Daphnia pulex: one gene and its partners. The protein of the gene in region 2 interacts with the protein of the main gene of each other region in a biochemical or structural test. Links are inferred from orthologs where the notes say so. Each region holds a gene or a part of one and is shown on either strand. Other genes may lie near its edges. The genes, in order: UBX domain-containing protein 1-B-like, polyubiquitin, E3 ubiquitin-protein ligase NEDD4-like, DNA polymerase iota-like, Golgi apparatus protein 1-like, ubiquitin domain-containing protein UBFD1-like and OTU domain-containing protein 5-B-like.

What was found.
Region 1: the proteins of polyubiquitin (region 2) and UBX domain-containing protein 1-B-like form a complex in vitro, tested with the Homo sapiens proteins (9 studies listed by BioGRID, with this or other methods). The link is inferred for Daphnia pulex from reciprocal best matches to the Homo sapiens genes UBC and UBXN1.
Region 3: of the proteins of polyubiquitin (region 2) and E3 ubiquitin-protein ligase NEDD4-like, one has a biochemical effect on the other in vitro, tested with the Homo sapiens proteins (6 studies listed by BioGRID, with this or other methods). The link is inferred for Daphnia pulex from reciprocal best matches to the Homo sapiens genes UBC and NEDD4L.
Region 4: the proteins of polyubiquitin (region 2) and DNA polymerase iota-like form a complex in vitro, tested with the Homo sapiens proteins (6 studies listed by BioGRID and IntAct, with this or other methods). The link is inferred for Daphnia pulex from reciprocal best matches to the Homo sapiens genes UBC and POLI.
Region 5: the proteins of polyubiquitin (region 2) and Golgi apparatus protein 1-like form a complex in vitro, tested with the Homo sapiens proteins (2 studies listed by BioGRID). The link is inferred for Daphnia pulex from reciprocal best matches to the Homo sapiens genes UBC and GLG1.
Region 6: the proteins of polyubiquitin (region 2) and ubiquitin domain-containing protein UBFD1-like form a complex in vitro, tested with the Homo sapiens proteins (2 studies listed by BioGRID). The link is inferred for Daphnia pulex from reciprocal best matches to the Homo sapiens genes UBC and UBFD1.
Region 7: the proteins of polyubiquitin (region 2) and OTU domain-containing protein 5-B-like form a complex in vitro, tested with the Homo sapiens proteins (9 studies listed by BioGRID, with this or other methods). The link is inferred for Daphnia pulex from reciprocal best matches to the Homo sapiens genes UBC and OTUD5.

The regions. Positions count from the first base shown.
Region 1 is NC_060026.1:12,912,322-12,915,542, reverse strand, and holds UBX domain-containing protein 1-B-like, read right to left. Parts: upstream 1,965-3,221; 5' UTR 1,835-1,964; coding exon 1,782-1,834; intron 1,694-1,781; coding exon 1,496-1,693; intron 1,433-1,495; coding exon 944-1,432; intron 883-943; coding exon 654-882; 3' UTR 501-653; downstream 1-500. Other genes in the region: synaptobrevin homolog YKT6-like, read left to right, coding at 2,386-2,578, 2,648-2,748, 2,808-2,978, 3,047-3,184.
Region 2 is NC_060024.1:13,924,171-13,926,359, reverse strand, and holds the end of polyubiquitin, read right to left. Parts: intron 2,174-2,189; coding exon 1,946-2,173; intron 1,783-1,945; coding exon 1,555-1,782; intron 1,391-1,554; coding exon 1,163-1,390; intron 993-1,162; coding exon 634-992; 3' UTR 501-633; downstream 1-500. Other genes in the region: FAST kinase domain-containing protein 4-like, read left to right, coding at 55-268.
Region 3 is NC_060022.1:1,841,552-1,845,631, reverse strand, and holds the start of E3 ubiquitin-protein ligase NEDD4-like, read right to left. Parts: upstream 2,801-4,080; 5' UTR 2,538-2,800; coding exon 2,499-2,537; intron 2,350-2,498; coding exon 2,273-2,349; intron 2,211-2,272; coding exon 2,129-2,210; intron 2,066-2,128; coding exon 1,866-2,065; intron 1,777-1,865; coding exon 1,572-1,776; intron 1,499-1,571; coding exon 1,330-1,498; intron 1,263-1,329; coding exon 1,123-1,262; intron 756-1,122; coding exon 690-755; intron 601-689; coding exon 510-600; intron 446-509; coding exon 328-445; intron 241-327; coding exon 137-240; intron 71-136; coding exon 1-70. Other genes in the region: integral membrane protein DGCR2/IDD-like, read right to left, coding at 3,415-3,638, 3,701-3,907, 3,970-4,080. UniProt on the Homo sapiens protein: E3 ubiquitin-protein ligase that mediates the polyubiquitination of lysine and cysteine residues on target proteins and is thereby implicated in the regulation of various signaling pathways including autophagy, innate immunity or DNA repair.
Region 4 is NC_060019.1:7,787,980-7,791,385, forward strand, and holds DNA polymerase iota-like, read right to left. Parts: upstream 2,197-3,406; 5' UTR 2,123-2,196; coding exon 539-2,122; 3' UTR 501-538; downstream 1-500. UniProt on the Homo sapiens protein: Error-prone DNA polymerase specifically involved in DNA repair. Plays an important role in translesion synthesis, where the normal high-fidelity DNA polymerases cannot proceed and DNA synthesis stalls. Favors Hoogsteen base-pairing in the active site.
Region 5 is NC_060026.1:12,903,409-12,906,142, reverse strand, and holds the end of Golgi apparatus protein 1-like, read left to right. Parts: intron 1-228; coding exon 229-506; intron 507-561; coding exon 562-793; intron 794-853; coding exon 854-1,056; intron 1,057-1,121; coding exon 1,122-1,380; intron 1,381-1,447; coding exon 1,448-1,676; intron 1,677-1,740; coding exon 1,741-1,931; intron 1,932-2,007; coding exon 2,008-2,129; 3' UTR 2,130-2,234; downstream 2,235-2,734. UniProt on the Homo sapiens protein: Binds fibroblast growth factor and E-selectin (cell-adhesion lectin on endothelial cells mediating the binding of neutrophils).
Region 6 is NC_060023.1:5,225,165-5,228,522, forward strand, and holds ubiquitin domain-containing protein UBFD1-like, read right to left. Parts: upstream 2,029-3,358; 5' UTR 1,713-2,028; coding exon 1,550-1,712; intron 1,472-1,549; coding exon 1,320-1,471; intron 1,251-1,319; coding exon 1,122-1,250; intron 1,060-1,121; coding exon 969-1,059; intron 900-968; coding exon 808-899; intron 729-807; coding exon 618-728; 3' UTR 501-617; downstream 1-500. UniProt on the Homo sapiens protein: May play a role as NF-kappa-B regulator.
Region 7 is NC_060018.1:2,564,231-2,568,294, forward strand, and holds the start of OTU domain-containing protein 5-B-like, read right to left. Parts: upstream 2,801-4,064; 5' UTR 2,650-2,800; coding exon 2,518-2,649; intron 2,218-2,517; coding exon 2,057-2,217; intron 1,992-2,056; coding exon 1,748-1,991; intron 1,686-1,747; coding exon 1,530-1,685; intron 1,460-1,529; coding exon 1,303-1,459; intron 1,237-1,302; coding exon 556-1,236; intron 493-555; coding exon 257-492; 3' UTR 1-256. Other genes in the region: zinc transporter ZIP1-like, read left to right, coding at 3,489-4,064. UniProt on the Homo sapiens protein: Deubiquitinating enzyme that functions as a negative regulator of the innate immune system. Has peptidase activity towards 'Lys-48'- and 'Lys-63'-linked polyubiquitin chains. Can also cleave 'Lys-11'-linked ubiquitin chains (in vitro).

The DNA of each region.
Region 1 (3,221 bases), on a different chromosome or scaffold from region 2:
GCCGTGAGCGGGAGGAGGAAGGAGGAGGTTTACGTCCTGACGATTTCTTCCAATGTACAGAGGGAAAAAAGCAAAAACAAAACAAAACAAAAGAGGTTAACTAAAAATTACTGTAGGAAACAAAAGGAAGTAGACCTGGTTTAGTCACGTGGTGTGGATTTTGTGTCGACACTTCCGATTTCTTTTCTTTTCTCTTCCCACGGCTTGCTTTTTTTGGTTTTAAAGAAGGCAAAGAGGGGGAGAGAAAGTGAGACATTTTGTCAGACGAAACCTGTCAAAGTGCCTTGGACTGTTTTGACTTAGCATTATGTTGTAATAACGAGCCCTAGACAGGTATAACAAAAACCGCTATAACCTTAATGGAACGGCGGGTGATACGCGATTTGTTAGTAGGAATAATAAAACAATCATTCGAAGGTGATGAGAAACAGGTGTAGGTATCTATCAAATCGTGCAAACATCAAATTTCAAAAGATGAGAAAAAAAATTAAGTAACTTCGTGACTCTTACAATCTTATGTGTAATTATTTCTGAAACCCGCCTCTTTCTCCCCCAACACACTCTTTCACTCGCTCGACTTTGTTATCAGATACAAATACAAATTAAATCTCAAGATGAGATAAAAAAATTCGTTTTTCAGTCTTTTATAATTCTCATGCTTTTGATACCATCAAAACAGCACTTGGAACTAATCCTAGCACATCGAGTGGCTTCTCGAACTCTTCTTCGGTAAATACTTTTCTAGGAAAATTTGTTTGAATCCGAAATGGTTCCGGCACTCCGGCATTTACATCGGTCCTATTCATTTGAATGAAGAGACGAACTGAAGCTAGCTGCTCCTTAGCACCAAATGTTTGCGTCATTGTCGATCCATTTGGAAGTCTGGAAGAAATAATAAAGAGTTATGGAAGAGGGACTTGCGTCATCCAGAATGATTTATAACCTTATTTGGATTTTCGTCTCCTTATAGTCCTTGGGCTGATTGGGTGTTGTCGGTGCCGGAGCCGGAGCCTGAACTGGAGGAGCTACATATGGCGTATTGGTTGCGTCACCGGCTTTCTGTTTTCGTGCCAATTTATCTTGTTCAATTTGTTCTTTCACTCGCTGTCTGGCTTTTTTCTCTTCTTCTTTTTCGCGCCTCCGTTCTTCGGCAATCTTTCTTATTTCATCCTCTTCGAATTTCTTTTTTATATTGAGAAGCTCCTTGCCTGACTGTATTCTTCTTTTTTCTTGCTCCAGTTGTTCGGCCTTTTCTTTCTCTTCACGTTCTTTGCGCTTCAACTTCATCAACTCCTCCACTTTCCTCAGTTGTTCCTTCTTTTCTTCTTCAGTGAGAGGCTTCTTTTCATCAGTAGATTCTGAAAACTGGCTGTGACCGGTTTTCGCAGCATGAAATTCTACCTCTTCATTTGTGCGAAATAGTCTATTACATCTAGAGGAAATTTTAAAAAACATATGTAAGAAATTCAATGGTTGACTTGAGTTCCATACTTACTCATCACATTTAATAGATTTGGCAGTAACAGCAGCCATTTCAGCATTTGATGCTTCAGGTTGAGCAGCAGCATTTGGTTCTTCCTCTTTCATTTCTTGATTGTTGTCAGTTTGTTGATTGAATTTCTCACTGTTCACAATCAACCAATCCATTGCAGCTTCAATATTTTGGTCTCCAGTTTCTTTAATAGCCTTTTCACTTTTCAAATTTCAAAGAAATATAACAAAATATTAAGTTGCCATTTAAAAAATATAAAAGGTATGAATTATTTGGAATTAAAACTTACGCTAACTGTTCAGAAAATCCCATTTCTAGTAACAGTTGAAGATTTGATGACATTTTCGGTATTTCGTTCTTCGAAAAACAACAGAACAGAGGTATGTCGTCCGACTAGCGCTAGCAATGTCAGTATGTTATTAAAAAAGTGACGATGAAGCCTCTTCTGTTGGTGTGATTTTGCCCCAAAGATTTTTGTAAAATTTTGTGTTTTTTGTATTGAAATTTACATTGAAACCAAATGTTTTATTTCTCAAATTATTATTAATTCTACTAAAAAAGTGTTTACTTTCTTGCAATTAACTATAATTCAATTTAGCAATCTGATTAGCGCCAAATTAGCGCGGGGAAACAGCTTATTTTACGTTTATCCGCTAGAGGCGGTGTATTCCGATGCAACAAATGGGTTCTTCGGCCATTCCCGTTGTTTTATTGAACTTTTTCTCTTGTTGGTTGTCACTTTTTGCAGACTTCTATCGGATCGGATTTAACCGCTTCTGAGGAAAAACTCAAGCCGTCCACTTGAACCTTTAGTACTAATTAACAAAGGCCTCTCCACTTATCAGTAAGACGATTGTTGGAGGATCTTATATTTACTAGTCAAATCTAGAAAAATGGTGAAGCTGTATTCTTTAGCGATTTTACATCGCAGCGAGCAAGGGTCACCACAGCTACTTAGAGCGGCTTACGACCTCTCAAGTTTTGGATTTTTTCAACGAAGCAGCGTTCAAGAATTTATGGCTTTCACTGCCAAGATCTTGACTGAAAGGACAAGTGCTGCGTCCAGACAATCGGTGAAACAAGGAGGTATGTATGCAAAGAGTCATCATAAAACTCAATGTACATTATAAATTAAATGTTATTTCTTTATTGCAGAGTATATGTGTCACATTTATGTGAGAGCAGATGGACTCTGCTGTGTTTTGACGGCAGATCATGAATACCCACAGAGGGTTGCTCATACCTTGTTAACCAAAGTGAGTGCTACTTGTATGTTGGTTGAATTGAAATGATGAGATATTCTTAATTACAAAAGGTGCTTGATGATTTTGCTGCTCGGGTGGAATCATCTCTTTGGATAGAAGCAAATGCTGCCTGTGCAGCTTATTCTGGATTAGAAGCATCTTTGGCAAAATATCAAAATCCCAGAGAAGCAGATGCTCTAACTAAAGTTCAAGATGAACTAGATGAGACTAAGATTATTTTGGTAATTTAAGTCTTAAAGTTTCAATCTGTTTTAATTTTTTTTTAACCAGTCATGTTTGATTGTCATAGCATAACACAATTGAAGCTGTATTGCAAAGGGGTGAAAAACTGGATGACCTTGTATCAAAATCTCAAGGACTGAGTGATGCATCAAAAATGTTCTATAAAACAGCTAGAAAAACAAATTCATGTTGCAATTTTGGATAAGTTCTCAAGAAATGTTTATTTGATCACATTCTTGGAA
Region 2 (2,189 bases):
CAGAAAAAACTTAAGACTTGCTCTAGTTATTATTAATATGTTTGCTTACATTAGGGTTGCGGTAATAGTGCTTAACTACAATCATTTGTGCAAAGGAAAGTCTTTCAGTACAGGACCTCAAGGATTGCGTGAGAGACTTCTTACCCAGTCAGGCTATCGAGTGGTCACAGTCAAACACACAGAGTTCGACCCTAAAGCTGATCTAGTTAAAAATGTCAAATACCTACAGAATTTAATTAACAATGCAATGGCAGCCGCAAGGAATTAAACATGTAAAACGCGTTTGTAGTATAACAGTTTTGAATGAATACAGTGTTGGCCTTGTACATTTTCAGTGAAAAAAAAAATTATTGGAGTAGTAATTAAGTTTGATGACAAATGCAAATTGAGTTCAAAAGTTGTAATTCAATTTTAACACAATTGTTATTATATTAATTTTATTGTTCGTTACCAATTTAATTATTATAACGTATTATAATGAAGTAATATAAAACCAATGATTAATGCAATTTCGATTTGTATTTCAATTTAAATCAACTTAAAAAACGAAACACGCCAAAGCGAGGACAAAACATTTCCGGATATCAGTTCAAACGTTAGAACTTGCGATAAAGCTTCAAATTATTTCGGTATTTAAATACCACCGCGAAGACGAAGGACCAAATGAAGAGTAGATTCCTTCTGGATGTTGTAATCCGAAAGAGTACGTCCATCTTCAAGTTGCTTTCCAGCAAAAATGAGACGTTGCTGGTCAGGAGGAATTCCTTCCTTGTCTTGGATCTTAGCTTTGACGTTCTCAATGGTGTCTGACGGCTCAACTTCGAGAGTGATGGTTTTTCCTGTCAGGGTCTTGACGAAGATCTGCATACCTCCTCTCAAACGCAGAACCAAGTGGAGAGTAGACTCCTTTTGGATGTTGTAATCTGACAAGGTACGACCATCTTCCAACTGTTTACCGGCAAAGATGAGACGCTGCTGATCAGGTGGGATACCTGAGTAGAAGAAGAATGGATTAGATTTTTTACACCATAGAAAGTCGTTGAAGTTCTAGAATTTATATCAGTACACGTTGGAAAAGAAGTAATCAGGGTACATATTAAAGAGCTAATAAAGTGTCATCATAATCGATGAAAAAAAAATAAAAACTGCTCCAAATTATTACCTTCTTTGTCTTGAATTTTGGCCTTAACGTTCTCAATTGTATCCGATGGCTCCACTTCAAGGGTGATGGTCTTTCCGGTAAGAGTCTTCACGAAAATCTGCATACCTCCTCTCAAACGCAAGACCAAGTGAAGAGTGGACTCCTTCTGGATGTTGTAATCGGACAGAGTACGACCATCTTCCAACTGCTTACCAGCGAAGATCAGACGTTGCTGATCGGGAGGAATACCTAGGGGAGAAAATAAGCTAATTAAACACACGTTCGTAACACACAATACGAATAATGTTTTAAATGCGTCAGATAAACTCGTAATCAGGGTGCATATTTAGGTGTCCTAAGAATATCATCAAAAACCAATTTTCCAAATTATATCAAAATCGAAGCAAGCTTACCTTCTTTATCTTGAATTTTCGCTTTAACGTTCTCGATGGTGTCGGATGGTTCAACTTCAAGAGTGATGGTCTTTCCAGTCAGGGTCTTCACAAAGATCTGCATACCACCGCGGAGGCGAAGAACCAAGTGGAGGGTTGACTCCTTTTGAATGTTGTAGTCGGACAGTGTACGACCATCTTCCAACTGCTTACCAGCGAAAATCAGACGCTGCTGATCGGGAGGAATACCTGTAGGTTAAGTAACTAATTAATACTAGAACGGGAAAAATGTTTCAATAATCTTAATATTGCTCATCAGACCAATTAAGTAATCAGGGTACATATTTAGGTGTCCTAAGTGTGTCATCACATAAATATTTATCTTAAGCAAGTATTCCTTTTCGTTTCTTACCTTCTTTGTCTTGGATCTTAGCCTTGACGTTCTCAATGGTGTCCGATGGTTCAACTTCAAGGGTGATGGTCTTTCCAGTGAGAGTCTTGACGAAAATCTGCATACCACCTCGGAGGCGAAGAACCAAGTGAAGAGTCGACTCCTTTTGGATGTTGTAATCGGACAAGGTACGACCATCCTCGAGCTGCTTTCCGGCAAAGATGAGACGCTGCTGGTCGGGTGGGATACCTGAGTAAAGAATAGC
Region 3 (4,080 bases), on a different chromosome or scaffold from region 2:
TAAGGAACAGCCGGTCCAGCAATATTAGGGTTCGACATACGGGGGTCTTCCCATTGGGTAATTCGTGTATCTGCATGTCAAGAATGCATTAAGCGTCAGCTGTACGAGTACCACCTGACGGAAAATGCCAACTTACTATGATCAATGTAGAAGATTCTGCCATCATTATGGATTCTTTCTTCCCATCCTTCCGGAAGAGGTCCCAGCGCTTCATCTTGGAAGTTTTTGTTTCCAGGGCTCCTGAACAAACAGATAATAGAATTATTGAAATGACCTTCATTTTTGGCTTTGTTTTTGTTTGAGAAGCCCAACAAAAAGAATACGAACTGGCTCTGCCGCGGAAGTGTCGATGGTCTCCCTGATCTTGGGTCCACCCAAGTTGTAGCCCGCTTGTTATGATCGATAAAAAATAGACGTCCATTTGGAGCAACTTGCACTGTCCAACCTAGATGTTTCCAAACGAGAAGTTTGCAGCTGTACACGTACGAGGAAATGAATGATTCACGTACCTTGTGGTAGTCCTTCACTGCTAGGAACAACTACAGGTCTTGGTGGGGTTGGAGACGTACTATTTGCAACCTGTTCTCCGCCGTCAATAGACTAAAATTTGAGGGTAAAGATATGGGTTAAAAATCACGCCATGAGGAAGGTCAGCATCGAAAAAGGAAATCAGGTTTTATTCTAATTACCGTTACGGAGTGACGAGGTGACGCTGGACTAGGTCTTGGACTGCCATTAATTTGTACATCTCTTAACTACAAATTTCGAATAAAACAAGAGGAGGTAAGCACAAATTCGGTTAAGCTGACTGTAAGTTTAGCATAGTCTACTAGCTCGATATTCTACATCGAATATTTCTAGCTTTTCTTACAACTGTAACAACGCGCAGAGGCAGGCTAATCAAACCTGTTCATCGCCCTCTGCAGTATCATCCCAATAATCATCGTATTCATCATCAAATTCGTCCCCGTCATCATAATAATCATCAAGTTCTTCATCGTCATATTCATCCTCCTCAAATAATATCGATTTTCCCGAAACAGCATGCAGAAGAAAGTGGCAAAATTCGTGAGTAGATATAAACATAACCGGGAGACCCAATAAAAACGAGATCAACTCTACCTGATCAGCAATACCAGCGGCTGCATCTAGTCCAGCTTGAAGCGGATGGGCATCGTCCGATATGTGATAGCGTCGTTGCATATCCGATCCAGCAGTTTCAAGGTTACGTTCACGTGCCAACTGCTGTTCCTGAATCACAGCTTTAACGGAAAGGAAAATTCGTGATAATACTCATAAAATAACAAGCCTTCCAGACTGCTCATTTACCTGGCTGGATGGACGGTCTCTCCCACTGGGTGGTGCGAGCAATATGATTAACGTAATAGGTTCGACCGTTAGCATCTTGACGTTCCTCCCAACCAGAAGGCAAAGGGACAGACTGGGCCGTTGCATTGGCGACGTCTGGAGCGGAAGAACTTCCCTGAACGTAAACGGGCTGGAATAAAAATCAGTATATTAGTATGCGAGAATATAAATGTAAATATTTTAACTATTTTAATCAGATTTACTCTAGCTGGCTGTTCTACTTGTGCCTGTCCAGCACTATTAACACCATCTGTCGTATCAACCATTTCCCAACCAGGTTCGGGATCCTGAGTTTGAGGCTCGGTTGCAGCGACAGAATCATTGGCTACTGTAATCTCCGAAACTTCATTTGGATCAGGGATGTATGCATGATATAGTTGCAGATGTCCTTTGACCTTGGAACGCGCACTGTTTTAAGATAAAGGACATAAACATTAAGCATGAAAGCAAAAATAAGAAACAGCAATTGCAATCTATTAGCATAAAATAGCATGTACCTTCGTGGCCGAAGAATGTAATATTTCCTGGGTATACTTGTATCTGGTAGTTCCTTTGGAAGTCCAACCAAAGGAAGTTCTACCATTCCCAGAAAGTCATCTCGGGTCAAGCGATTTTCATCAAACACTTCCATCACTAGCTTATGTTCTGAAGGTTTGACCCGGAATATGAATTCTTCATCCCATTTTGGATTTAAGGTCTGTGAAGTAAATGATTAAAGTTAGAAACAAACTACTGGCAGCACTGTGATGTTGCAACATACCCTTTTCTTGGTTCGTGTCAACACTGAATCAATCACTTGTTCTCCATTATTTGCCACCAAATCAATTCTCACATAAGGATCACTAAATTTAGGAAGAAAAGTGAGGACATGAGTAATACAACAAACACCACACTTTGTTATTACCTTGCTCCAAATATGTCTTTCTTGCAAAGGTTATGCCCAGCAATCACACGTAAACGAAGTAAACTTGTAAGCTCAGGCTAAAAGAATAAATATCAAATCATGTACAGACTTACAAACAGAAATTTGCCTTCCTTTCAAACAAAAAAAAGTAAACAAAATCTGATTTTGACCAGATTTGTCCGGGTTTAAGGTTTCATATTTCGGTATTTAGACACGTAGTACGTACCATTGCGTTATTGAGCCCATAGACACGACTTTCGGCCATGCAAACTTTTGAATTTTCCTTGACTTGATGCGATAAAAAATGAGTATTGACTCTGCAGATTTTCAAGGTTTAAAATTGAACAAACTAATTGAAAATGAAGTTTTTCACGCCCCAGCCCCAGCGTACAACACAACCAGAGAGCAGACAACTTGTATAGTTGTAGGCAACGAAAGTCGACTCGAGAACTGATGAATATCAGCTGATGGAGAATTTCGTCAGTCACGTGACCCATCGATGTGAGTTTGTGACAATGCTCTCTACTAAATGCGCTCTTGAAAAAAACGAAACATCGCACATGCTTGAACTCAATTTATTTCTTTGTTCGAAAGTGGTCGGCTGTAGATAATACGTTACCGTTTACAAAAAATTGAAATGAGGGGCGTGATTATATAGAGAAATCTGCCCTACAATAAACACATTCAAAGCAACCTACCGTCACCGCGACAGGACTGCCTATATGTGGATTATAATATTAATGACGTATGTGCCCATCAATAGATGACTGTGATTTTCGAAGCCTTTTGTCTAAGCACATAATTTTACATAATAGAAACGTTGTAATGAATACAATTCAAAATGATTGGGGGAAAATACCGTCGAAAAACACATCATGGAGGAAATTTGTCAAAGGTTTTCAAAAATAACCTAGATGACAACGAATTAACTATGTGAAGGCTTTTTGAAATGAAAATACATGGAGAAGCCCCACATAGTCGCGTAAAAAAGAGAAAAGCGAGTAAAAGGTGACAACACAACGAGAGCAGAATCAATACATCGAACAGTCAAACGAGATCTTCTAGACTGAAGTAGCTGATTTCTTCTACTAGATTCTGCTTTAGGTAGATACTTGATTCTGCTAAAGAATAAGTACACATAATCAATTGGAGCCCAGATGGGCAATCGACGCGGCAGAAGAAGAGGAGGAAGTGCTCAAAGTCCCAGGTTGGGCGTGACTTGAACTGCTCGTGCAGCTGCTTGTGTCTGAGCAATCGAGGGCAAGTTGTAGGCTGAAACGTTGAATGGCAACTTCGGCTGGAGAACGTTCTCTCGGCAAGTTCAAACTATTCCTCCATTGAGCAGAAGGAAGTTCGTCGTCGTCTTCTATAAACAAAGCATTCCAATTCAACAGCTGTGTAAATTAAACATTTCTCAACTAACATTACCCCTGACTGAGGAGGCCCCTCCTTCTATCTCATTCATAGCTGGAGTTGAAATACAAGCAAGAACTTCTGCGTAACTAGGAGGAGGTGTTCCCGCGTCCAAAAAATCGCTAGAATCCAAAGTATCGTTGCTCCGTCGTAACATCAACGTGTGACTCATAGGTGTTTCGACTAAATCATTCGACGGAGCGGATGGAACAACTAAAAGACCTGCAACATAAATATAATGCATTAAATTTGTTGAAATACGAAATAAAAACTTCTGTTTTTACTTGTGGTTTCGCGGCTGTTTTCACTTTCTTCGATAACTAGACGATTGGATGGATTTTCAGAATAGGGCGGTGGGTTATCCGTGACGGACGAATTAGGTAGCTTCCACATCA
Region 4 (3,406 bases), on a different chromosome or scaffold from region 2:
CTAGTTTGCACACGTCTCGTATGAAGTGAAAGCAAGAAAGCAAATTTACATTAGAAATTGTTGGTTATTTACTTTTGTTCAGTAATAGAGTTCCAGAAAAGGATAAGTTGTATGATGTAAACCGTCACCATACATGTCCTGGAAACCGTCGACGGTGACATGCAACTAGAATGACAATTTCATTTTTTCATACATATACATGTAAACTAAACAACAATCGGCAAACTCGATGAATATTTATATAATATAAGATTTCTAAAATTGGTCGTTCAGCATTCTGTGTGGCCAAACCTCAAATTTCAAAATCTTTAAAAAAAAACTAAAAATGCCAGGATAGTAAGTATTCTAGAAAAAAACAACAACAACAAAACGGAAACAAAACGCCTCACTTACCTTAACGTTGGTTGTTGCTAATTACTAGACAAGATGGCCGAAAAGGTGTTTTGGTCTCGAAAGATAAGGAAGTGGCTAAAATTATATCCCATCCATGAAATAACATGTCTTTGTTGATCATTTATAGCTACTACAGAACACATTTTTACACTTTACGGAAGTACTGTAATAAGTTATTAGGTTTTTTGGTTGCGATTGGCTTCTTATTTTTCTCCCCAGCCAGCAGTTCCTTCTGGATCTCCACCGGGAGCTCGCGAAAAACTTGAGGATCGACACCTTTTGGACAATCAAAATCTGCTGACTGTTGGGAGGTGCTTGATGATGGTATTTGACACTTCATATCTTCTAAAACTTCTTGACGGATGTCATCAGGTAATTCTTGGAGGACAGATTCGTCAAAGCGTCCACGCTTAGTTGGAGGTGGCAAAGTTTCGTTCGGTCGCGATGAACTAGTAAAATATTTGTTGATGGAATTTTTCGCTGGGCTTTCGATGCCAGAGGGAAAACCAGAGAACGAAATACCCAACAATGTAACTTGCCACGATTCATCGCAATTTACTACCTTTTCGAAGAGATTCATTAGAGTCGTGATGACTTTTTTTTCTTGATTTTCACTTAACGGTCCTAATGGCGCGTTGCTAGGAACTCCAGTCGTAAGATCTATTGCAGTCTGGCGGGCCTCTCTGACACTGTGATTGGTCGCATGTAATTTCCGAACTGTCAATTTAACTTGACTTGGTCTACGGCCATCCTTCTCCACTAACTCCCAAACTCGATCTAGCAGGCACTTGAGCTTCTTGCGCACTTCAGTTTCACTTTTGATTGTAGGAAATCCATCTTCGGCTCCAATAGATTTCGGTCTGTCGGTTATTTTGACACGACTATCGTCGATCCCAAAACTCAGTTGTTGAATTTGGTTAGCTGTTTTGACTCCAAGTGCTTCAATAAGCTTAAACAAATCTGCTGCTTGAAGTTTTTCTATGGTGTCAATACCAAGAACCTCTAGTTTTCTGTTCATTGCTGAACCAATTCCAGGAATATTTCTAGGATGCTTCAATGATTTCATCAAGTTTAAAGATGATGCTGAGAACAAGGTGGTTTGCTGATTTGGTTTATGGGTTGCTCCAACCAATTTAGCTAGAAGCTTGTTACAAGCAATTCCAGCACAGGAGGTGATTCCAAGTTCACTTTTTAGTTGATTTCGCATTTCCTGAGCAATAATAGAACCTTCTTTTAGTCTGTCTGTACAACCACATGCACAAGTTTCATCACTGTTCTTTTCTTCGAAAATGTGTCCAGAAACTTCTGGTTTAATTTCAGGGGACTTGTTGATTTTGTGGGAAATGTCAATAAAATTTTCATCCAAGCCAAGTTTCTCCACAAATGGGCTGAACGATTGAAGAATTTGATAAATCTTCTCTGACATGTCTCTATACTTTTTCAAGTCCTCTCCATTTGCAAGTACTAAGGAAGGGCACTTTTCTAGTGCGGTCTTTATTGACATAAGTTTCTCAACACCCAGCGCTCTTGCTTCATAGTTACAGGTTACAACAATATTTTTCTGTTTGATACCAAGTGGTTTGCCACATAAAGATGGATTTAGAATCATTTCAACTTGGGCATAAAAACAGTCGATATCTATATGGATGATAACGCGTTCATGTTTTTCACTTGACTGAATGGCAACACTATTGTACGAGAAATCGTCACCTAAATCTTCTTCCTCCATTTCGGAAAGAGTAAGGAAAAAGTTTAAACAAACAATAACAATTCAACTACCGGCAAATGACAGCACTGTAGTGTCGTCTGCTTTGTTACTATGAGCCCGAAGCGCAAAGAAAATGAAAATTCATTATTTCAAAATATTTCATAAGCTAATTGATTATTTTCTGATTGAAATGAAGAAAACTTAAAAAATGAATTAGTGTTGTTTTAAAATATCACGAAATAATAAAGATAACCATATGAAAATGATCAAGTATTTCAGGCAACTATGCAGAAATTCATGACATTTGATTTTTACATGACACGCCAGCAAATTCTTTTCTTTCTGTCATTCGTTTTTTCTCCTTGTTGTCATTCTGTCAATTATTCACTATGACAAAATTGGTTGAATGGTTGGGTGGTGCAGGCTTGTTTGCTGGTGTTTGGGCTTACCTCTTTATCAGTACACCAGTTGGAAACTCTAGCGACTTTGCCCGGCATTTCGTTCTGTTCCTACCATTTTACGTATTACTCGCATTCGCAGTAAGTTTTGTTTTTATATGATATGGTGCGTATTATCTATAGCAATTTTTTCCCTCATTATTGCAGGTGATTTCTGTTTCAATAATTGCTTGGAGAGTCTACACATTTAATGACTGCGAGGAGGCTGCCAAAGAGCTAAAACAAGAGATAGTTGATGCCAAAGCTGACCTCATAAAAAAAGGATTCAAACTAGACTAAAACATGATACTCTTTTCCACTTTGTATTGACTGATTGCATTTTCCTCAAAATACACATTCCTCAAAATCTGAAAGTGTTTTGAGGACAGCTAAAATTGTTAGTGAGATTTGATAGTTCCATTTCTTAACACACTTCCATTAAAAGAAGTTTGTCAGACCTGCAAGACAAGACAATGTAATGTACACAGCTTTGGAATCCCCATAAGCATTAAAAAGCACTAATGAAACAACAAAATATTCTCTTACACTACAGTCCTCTTTGCTGTCAAGAGATGTGCAATGCACAGAAAAGTTAATTGTTTCTTCTATTTAAACAGATTTAAAAAGTGAAATGTTCAATATAGGAAAAGTCAGAAATTAGTTTCCACTGTAAGGCCTTGTCAAATGATTACAAAAACATAAAATTCATCACAAGAGTGTCAAGCAACCTTGTCATTCACACACTAAGGCAGTATTATCTGGTATCTATAGCTTTCATGCTACTTCCTTACTCTAAGAGATAAATCAACAGAATCATATAAATAGTAAGGAATAAAAATGTTGCATAGACACTTCGTAATTACGAAAG
Region 5 (2,734 bases), on a different chromosome or scaffold from region 2:
AACACGTTTTTCATTTTCTTATAATTTGTTTATTCATTCAAAATTTAACGAAAAAAGAACTAAAGTTTATGATGGAAGCTTAAGGCAATTTTCTACCACAAAAAATGAGCCATATTTCATCACAACACCTATATTTTATGTCAATGCAGGTTTGGTGTTTTCTTGAATTTTATTTTCATATTTAAGCATTTCAAATAGTACTACAATATTTGTTTTCTTTTAATTTAGAGCCTCATATTGGGCATGTCTACACAGCAGTCCTTGCTGATTCCTCAGCCAGATTTCATCGTTTAATTGGTTGCAGCCCTGTTGTATTTTCTACTGGGACTGATGAGCATGGCCTAAAAATCCAACAAGCATCATTACAGGCCAATAAAGATCCCAGCCAATTCTGTGATCAGGTTTCTGTTCTATTTAAAAATGCTTTGGACAAATGTGAAATTGGTTATACCGATTACATCAGGACTACTGAAAATCGACACAAAGAAAACGTTCACTCATTTTGGGTAAATGTCAGTGCAATGTGAATATGTTTCACATATTAATGAGCCATTTTTTTAGAATATTCTTTCAGATAAAGGGTACATCTATAAAGGAAAATATGAAGGTTGGTATTGCACAGCCGATGAAACATTTGTTACAGAAGATCAAACCACACTAGTGAAATTGCCTGATGGTCGTGAGCAACGAGTCTCAACAGAATCTAATCGTCCCGTTGAATGGTTCAGTGAAGAAAACTATTTGTTCAAGTTATCAAAGCTAAGAGGAGAAATTTTAAAATGGTTGATCAGTGGTAAGTTTCCTTTTTTTCAGTAGTGTACAACAAAATCACAAACCAAACAATTTTTTACAGGTCCCGTTGTTCGACCTGTGCGGCATTATAATCTTGTAAAATCATGGCTTGAACAAGATCTTGTAGACTTGTCAGTATCTAGGCCTCGTGCAAGATTGTCTTGGGGTATTCCAGTTCCAGAAGATCCTTCTCAAACAATTTACGTGTGGCTCGATGCATTGCTAAATTACATGACTGTCGCCAAACACTCACATTCTGACAAGGTAATATTTTAAAAAATTTATATTTTTCAACACATTAAAACGTATCCGAACCTTTGATTCCACAGAATATCTGGCCGCCGAGTGTTCATGTGATTGGAAAAGATATCTTAAAATTCCATAGTATTTACTGGCCAGCCTTCCTTTTGGCTGCTGGTTTTGATCCCCCGAAATGTTTACTAGTACACGGCCATTGGCTGGCCGACGATCAAAAAATGTCTAAAACTACGGGTAACGTCGTCAGCCCTCAGTCTTGCATCGATATCGCAACAGCAACTGGACTCCGTTATTTTCTGTTGCACGAAGGAGTTCCAGCCAGCGATGGAAGTGAGTCATACATTGTTCTCAAGTGATTTGTTTATCAATCTTATTAATAGTTTTGAAAATGACAAAGATTTTAGTATGACGAAGCTGGTGCGAATCGCCAACTCTAATTTGGCCGACGGCATCGGCAATCTAGTCAACCGCTGCTGTGGCAAGAATTTGAATCCTTTGCAGATAAGACTTGCAGTCAGTCCGTCAGATTTTGAAGCCTGTGGTTCTCCAGGATTAGAGTTGCTTGATCTTTTACAACGCACCCCTGACATTGTTCACGAAGAATATCTACAGTGGAACTTTTACAAGTAAATTCGTGTGTTTTGCCTGGTTATAAAAATCAAACCTAATCACTAATTGTTTAATTTACAGAGGAATTGAACAAATCATGGCTCTAGTTCGATGTGCCAATGGTTTTTTCCAGACTATGGAACCCTGGAAGTTGAAAAAAGAAGGCGAGATTGACAAACTGAATGCCACATTGGCCGTCACCATGGAAACTGCAAGGGTAGTGGGAACGCTTCTTCAACCGATCGTGCCTTCTTACAGTGAACGTTTACTCGGTAAGTTGATTCCTTTCGAATGACGAAAGCTATTTCCGGGATCATGATTTTAAAAGGATGAAATATTTCCATTAAGACAAATTGGGTGTGCCACGGGAAAATCGCGACTGGAATTTCGCTCGACTACGATCGAGTACCACCGATACTTCTCTCGGCGCTCAAGGGACTGTCCTCTTCCCCAAAATCAAATCTGACTAAAAATTTAACCTTCGCTGTTAGCAGGTGAATATGTTCAGTGACATTTGATTGCGTCATTCAGTCTGAAATAGAATGGCGAATAAATTTTAATACTAAAAACGTTGATGTAGTCGTGATTTTCGCATCACTTTCCTTGAGCTTTTGACCTCGTTTAAATGTCCTTTCCTTTATTAATTTGGGGGGCTTCTTTAAGTTTGTAAATCTGGTATAGATCGTGTTGATAACGCAAACGGCTAGTAACAGGATTCCACTTTTTTTGTTTTTAAATAAAATTTTCTTCTTCTTTTTTTCAGCCAAGGCGAAACTTTTAAGTCACTAATGGGATTATGTAGCACCGCGCTCTCTTTAAAATAGTAGATTGAAAATTATCGAACGGAATCGTTAGCTCTTTATTGAAACGGTTGGAGACAGAGCGAAACTGCCCAGCCCTTTTGATACGGTCAGCAGGTGAAATGTGGATGTCCTTCACTACTTTTTTCTTCTTTGTCCTTTTTTCGGGTGTCCGGTTTTGCGTAATCGCCTCTTTCCGCTCTAGGGTTTCTTCAGCGGAGCGTCTGCTCCGGTAGACGCCGGTCGTAGACCACCCAAGCCATAGAGGGACTCCG
Region 6 (3,358 bases), on a different chromosome or scaffold from region 2:
GCCACTCTGAGCTTGCTAACTTGCCAAACAACCAATCTCTTGGTACCGGTATGCATTTTTAAAACTGAATGCTGAGCCTTTCGATTGCCAAATAGTCATTTTACGTAGATTTTTGCCGATATCCCTTTGTCCCAATGTTAAATTGAATAGCTGAACCATTCTCAGTGGCAGAACACCGTCTGTACTAAGAAATTCAAAATTTGGTAGGTAATTATCTGTAAATCTAACTTAAAGACTCCGTTGAACCTTTTTTGTTTTTTTCATTATGGGTTGCTTTTACAGTATGTCTTGCATGTCGACAAAGGCAGGCATATTGCATACAACACGAAAGAGACAATATTGTAAATTAAACCAATTTACTGATTTATCGGATATACTTTGTCCTCGATCAGTCATTTATCTTCATCGTTAAACAAAAAGTAGACCCAGTCTTTTTCACTCTTCCTGGAGGTATTTTATATGATTAAAAGTAAAATCAAATATAAAATAGAGTACAAATATACATATTTAGAAATGTTATTTAAGAAATACTCAACTCATCAATTTATATTAGCAGAAAAAGTTATAAATAGTATTGAATCAAGTGACAATTTCCAGAAATTGAACATATTTTTTAATCAAAAATAATGCCACTTCCCTAAAATAGTTTCTTTTATTGCATCCACATATTGACATGGTATCCAATAGATCCAATATCTTGAAGCTTCAGTAGGACCAAGCTGAATTCCCTGATGAAAGAGATGTAAAAGAGGTAAAAAAACAGAGAACAAAGAATCATTAAGAGAGCAAATGTGCCAAGAATCTTACAATAATGTGGTATTCTTCATGTCCTTCTATTGGCTCATTCACAATGGTTTTTATTGATGACATGCTGATTTTCTCTGTCCTTTCTTTTGTTCCTACAATTGTGCGTAAAATAAGTTGTAGAATTCTTGAAAATTCCATTAACAAAAAACGTCTGTATATACCTATCCAGATTTGGTCATTTTCCATCTTGAATGTCAATCTTACTTTGCCTCGGCTGCACATCCCATTCAATGGATGAGGTGGTAATCCTTCCTGAAAAATCAAAACAACTTTAAGAAGTACTTTTCAAATAAGTGTGTAGATATGCAACAAACTTTGGCATTCTTAACACCAGGCATAACATCCTCAGGTAGTCCTTTGTCCAAAACTTTTTTATGTATTTTCTGATGACACAATGGTTCTTTAATAGCACTTGCTGGTTTCAATTTATCTTCAGGGATCCACTGACAAAAGAGAATTAATTTCAGACAATTTTCATAAATAAGTTATCTGATAAGATTGAAAATTAATACTGTTGCTGTTTGATGAGAGAGAGCTAAAACATCATCAAATGTTGACCCAATGACCATAACTTTCGATCCTGAAATAATTCCAGAATCTCTTAAGGATTTGTCATCATGAGCAAGGCCTTTGACCATGAGTTTTTGCATTTCTTTTGGTACACCTTAAAAATTTACATTTCATTATTTAATATTTTTTCTACAAGAGTAATTTCAAAAATAACTGAGTTCTCAGTTCTCACCAATGATGGTGTGCAAATGTTCCTTTAACTGAGCAATTGTGGAATCCAGATTGAAGATAACATCATATTTCTTTTTGTTAAAAACTACCTTAAATTCCACATCTTTTGCAGTAACATTGCCTGGAAGTGTTAATTCTTCAAGAATGTCTTGTTTTTCCTCCATTTGATAATGTAGACGTTGTGCAAACGTCTACGAACATTAAAACGTGCTACGACTGAAGTTTCAACAATTGGCTAATAATATATGTGGACAACTTTCAATTCTAAATTAAGCAGCACTCCTACCAGATTTGCACAAACATCTAAATCCTCGAAAATCAGGTATTTTCAAAAATAGTAGATTTCTTTTCAAGTTTGAGAAAGCAAACCAGACTGGAACAAACGAGAGAGGAGACGAGTACTTTTTTCTATTTACTAACGGGTAGTGACACCTATTGAGAATTAAACAGACTTGACGGACTATATATATATACAACGCTGTTGACAGTACACTAATAAAATAAAATAAATAAAATATATTGCTTTTTTTGTATGGCTAACTTCATTTTTAAAATGGGGAAAAAAATAAGAAAGTCAAAATATAATGTAAAATATGCATAGCTAAAGTAGGTAGGTACAAAATATAAATTAATATTGGATTTTTCCGTATATGTATTTTCAATAAATAACGACAGCAGCCGCTAGGAAGCAGGCCAATTTTGACAAGATCAACAAAACAAAAAAACAAAACTTTTGAGTCTGTTAATCTCATCTCATAAATATTTGTTGAACTTGATTTTGCCTATCTCACATAAAAGGGCTAGGAAATAAGCGTGTAGACCTATTGCTAAAATACTACAATATGGTATTCTATTTTAATGATATAAAACTTACTTGCTTACCTCATATTTCTTGTTATTTGTAGTCAGCCTTGTTCAACTTCCAGTCTCTTCTTACGATCACATTACTTCTTATATGCACATGTGCGTATATTCGATCACTGACTCCAAGTCTACTAGATCGTAACAAAACAGGGTGAGAAGTAAAATTGTGTACCTAAAGGACTTATGTTTATGTAGGTTCTCGTAAATTATCAAGATGTTGACTGTTTTGTCAATTTACATGTCAATTCAGAATTTTCACATTAACAAGTTTTGTTTTGTTTTTTTCGTTACAGTTTTTTGGGGTTGTTCTGGAAAAGTGCTCGAATTGGTGAGAGGAAAAGTCAGTACATTGCTGCAGCATGTGTCTTAATGGCTGTCAATATTTTGTTCTGGTCTTAGTCTCATTTGCTATTTGAGGTGTAACAATTAAACAGCACATACAAAATTAATTTCATAATTCTAATTCTTTCTCAATTTCTAAGAATAAAGTTTAAAATGAAATCATTTAATCATATCTTTTAAAAAGTATCCTCAACACAGTCTACTTGTATGGAGCCATTTATTTTTGTTTTTCATTTAATAATAATTCTACTAAATCTTCTCTAATTCGCTGGTTCGCCGTAAGTCGAACACGATATGGGATTGGAAGAGAAGATCTTATCTACACATCATCTTCTCATATGATGCATGTATGTAGGAATTTATTTATAATCTTCGTGACTGATCACGCGGACCTCGTTTCACTTCCCTTCGATGATGGCACATGTCCTCAGCTTTTTTTTTACGTAATATTTACTCATAAATGCTACAAATCCATCTATTGAGGAAATCGAGTGGTGAAATGTCGGTAACTGGTCGGTAATTGCGGAGTACCGTGCGCAGTAAAAAAAAAATTAAATAATAAAAAAGGATAATGTTGGGTTAAGCTGGCTTCATAACTCGCGTC
Region 7 (4,064 bases), on a different chromosome or scaffold from region 2:
TTTACATGATTTGGCAGCCAGTTTGCGAGAATCGGCAGTGGAGGAGACGGGGGTACAGGCAAGTTCAATCCAATTGTGTCAGTCAGACGTCATTGCGAGTCTAAATTTAGACCGAGAATCAAAGATTAACAATTTTGCATGGAAAGGACTTTCTTCTGACTCCTCCCCTGATACACGCCTCTTGAGCTCCCTGCCACTGACGGGGGGAAAAAAAAAGGAAAGCTAACACGTAGACAAAACAACTGAGGAGTCTGGGTTAACTATTGTTAGTCCCGTTCGCACTGGTCAGGTCGTTGGTTGGATCTGTCGTCATACTGTCGCGACTGCTCTGTTCAACCGGCTGCTCCTCTTGCTGCTGTTTGGTGTTATCCATCGTCTCGTCGTCGTGAGGGTCGATGGCTTCCCTGCTCTTTTTCAACTTGTCCAGATACTCTTGTTGCGATGCAGCCAGCACTTGAGCCAAAAGTCCAGCATCCTCCCAGTCTGCTAAACCTTTAGCCAATTTTAAAGCATAAAATTAAACTGAAAATATCTGTTGATATAAACGTCAGTTACCAAACATGTCAGGAGGCAACTGTCCCAGGAATGAAGCCGTTTCAGCCAATTCAAAGCCTGGCCCCAATCCCCAATCGGGTTTACTGGTGTTCACTGGGTTTGAACTTGAAGTACCAGCGGCCGGTGACGCGATAGGGCTAGTTGATGCACCTTCACGACTACTAGAGGTTGTGGCGCTGCGTGAAGTGGACGCTCTCGGTGAAGCATTTGGAGACTTCCGCTGGTGTTCAACAAAAGATGGTTTGGGCGAATTACGAGCTGAAGAGGACGTCGTTGCTGTTGTTCTTGGGGAACGGAGCTCGCAGGCATTCGAGGAAGTGGTTGCCGAATGACCGGACCGTTGCTGCTGTCGACTGCGTCGCTCGTTTTCTCTAAGCCAGTCGAGGTAACTTTCACGGGCAACTTGCTCTTCAATAGCTTCATTTGTTGCCTCCCAATCTGTGGCTTTAACTTTATCTTCTAACATGGCTTTTTCAATTAAGGTCTCTTCACTTTGTCGCATGGCATCACCCATTAATTTCTTGTCTGCTTGACCAGGGACAAATCCTGGCAATCCCAGTCCTACTCCCACAGTGGCTTTGTACGGATCAACCAAACTGTTGTAGTGCACTCCACGATGATAAGACAATCGAATAGGTTCGTCATCAGTCTGATGTTTACCATGGAAAATATTGATCGGCTCTGTAATGGGTTAAATTTAAGTAAGCCTTCTATTTAGCGAATTTTATCGAAATGATAAGGGCTTACCGACGCTGTAGCAAAATACTTCAATATGTCTGTTGTACATTTCGCTCATAGCCTGCATCTCAATGTGATTGCCATGTACATTTTCCAATCTTTTTCTACTCACATAGGCGGCAAAGTCTTCAGTCATATACTGTGAAAAGTAGTCTCCGTTTGCGTCCTTTTATGACAAATATAAATATAGACGTAATGTTTCAAATTCATAAAAATACAACAGGACAATTACTTACAATATAGTCCATACAATGTTTGCGAACCATTGAGTGCATTTCTTGATCACCGTAGATTTGATCAGAAACGGCACGAAACAAGCAGGCTCCGTCTTCACCCATCCGCTTAATAATAAAACCTCGTTTCCGCATCTTTTTCTCAAACCATCTTTCCTTCTAATAATCATATTGGCATTGATGGAGTTCTATGAATAACACTTCTGTCTTAGGAAACATACCTGTTCCCATTCTTCTTCAGAAATGGGGACATTAGAAGATGAAGATCTTGCAGGTCCATATTCATCTCCACTGTTATATCCACTTCCTGATTCATCTTCATGGGAAGAAGGATCTGGTACTGTATGGCTTGGTGTGGGAGAACTTCCTGAGCTGGATGAAGAGGCAACACTGTGCATGGCTGAACTAGTACTAGGTATGGCAGAGGTTGATGAATTCCTATCTCTGTGCTTGGGGCGGACAGCTCTAAATAAAAAAAAAATATGCCTGTCAAATTTCAATGCAACAAAATAATAACTGAGATTAAATACCTATGGGGACTGACTCTCATTCTTCTTTTTGTTTGACTAGGACCACTCTCCAGGTCATAATCTTCATAGCGAGATGATGACTGGCTGCTGTGTCCGTGGCTGTGGGGATGGCTTGATGATGTTCTTCCAGACAGCCTAGACACACTGCAAGTTTCTGCTACCTGTAAAATTTATGTAAAATACATTTTAATAAGAATCAACAATGCTGACTTTTTGTCATCTTTGTCAATAATAGTTATCAATACTATTTGCTTTTATTCATTGAGCACTGCCTAAATGGCAAGGGTGTAATGAACAAAGCACCATTTGCTTCTTGTACATAAGTACTGGTTGTAGCTGGACCGGCCATTTTGTGTGGTTGTTTCAGATGTCAATTAGAAGATGCACTGAAACTTCCAGCCATAATTTCTTCCAAAGGCTGTTTAAATACTGGGGTATATTTATAAAAATAATTTTTTTACCTGTGGTACTGGTCCAATGTGTGAAAGGTGATTATTGCTCCCAACTGAGAGGTGTTGTAGGGGAGATCCATCAGTATTACTTTCGGATTCCGACCGTGATTGAGATGACTTCTTTTTCGGCAGAATTGTCATGATGCTTGTGCAAAGATCACTCTCTTTACCGAAACGCCCTTGAAATGTACTCTTCGACGATTTCTTTTATCTATTCAACGAAAAAGACAAATTTTCCACTGAAAGATGGCCGTGTCTATTTTTCTGTCTAAATTATTTAGAGGTTGCCATGTCGATGAATAAGCGAAAACATAGAGTTTCAAAATGTTTCAAATTTTCAATGGAATGAATTTTCGGAGTGATGCTATGAATAAAAAACATAATTTTTCATGTTTGCAAAATTGTGTTGAAAAATATTTTTTAGCTAGCTTCTAGCTAATATGTATTTTTCAATTTCCGAATTTTTGCTCGAAGAAGGCAACCAAGGATGTTAATTGTATACGAACATTCTGTCTGCTCTGCCAGTATTGTGACATTGACTTCGTTTTGATCGTGTGTCTGGAATTTTACTTTTTAAGTGAAACATTGCATAACTTCTGCCAGGAAGGAATAAAATCACCCTGCATATACCTTTCAGGTAGGTGAATTAATTATTGTAGCATTATTGTAGAACCTGTCGTAGGTTCCTTCTAGCATGAAGTAAGAAAACGAGCAGAAGATGTAAAGCACAAAAAAAATAAAAATAAATACAAATCGACCGACAGAGGGTGTTGACCGAGCTCGAGTTAATATTTCGCTCAAGGCGCAGTAAGTGCCCTTGTCTCAAGTAGTTTTGAGTTTTATAATAACGCGAAGGGACAGTGAGTAGAGTCAGTGGCATCTGGCCTGTGCGAACGCTGAAAATTACTAAACGAAAAATTCTAAAAGAGTAAACAGTTGCATCAGTCCATCAGACACATCCAAGCATAGTGGCAGTCAACATGGATAGCCAAGTACTGCTGGTTGTCACTGCTTTGATTGTGTACATTGTTATGGCAATTTGTGCTTTGATTCCAGTCTGCATTGTAGCCAAGAAATCTACCAAGGACTGCAACTTTAGTCGTGGTACAGAAAGAATAATTTCATTCTGTAATTCCATGGCTGGTGGAGTCTTCATCGCAATGTGCTTTCTAGGACTACTTCCTTATGCGCAAGACAAGACGAGGAAAGTGCTTGCAGACCTTAATATAACAACTGATTTTCCTGTTGCTGAATTCACATGCATTTTAGGATTTTTCCTTATCATGTCAGTCGAACAGCTCATTCTTCAATGCCAAAATTCAAAGAACAAGACCAATGGAGACTGGGAAGTCCCAATGGCTTTTGACGAAACTGATAGATCAAGTAAACTGAATTATTATAACACAGTCAGAGATGAAAGTGCTTCAGAAGAACTGCTTGGCAAAAAAGCATTAGAAGCAGTCTCACCAGAGAGTCCTTCGATTCTAAAGGAAATCAACATCCCCAGGATTTATCAAAATGTTCCTATGGTCACCTTTAAGGAAGAAGATAGCGAT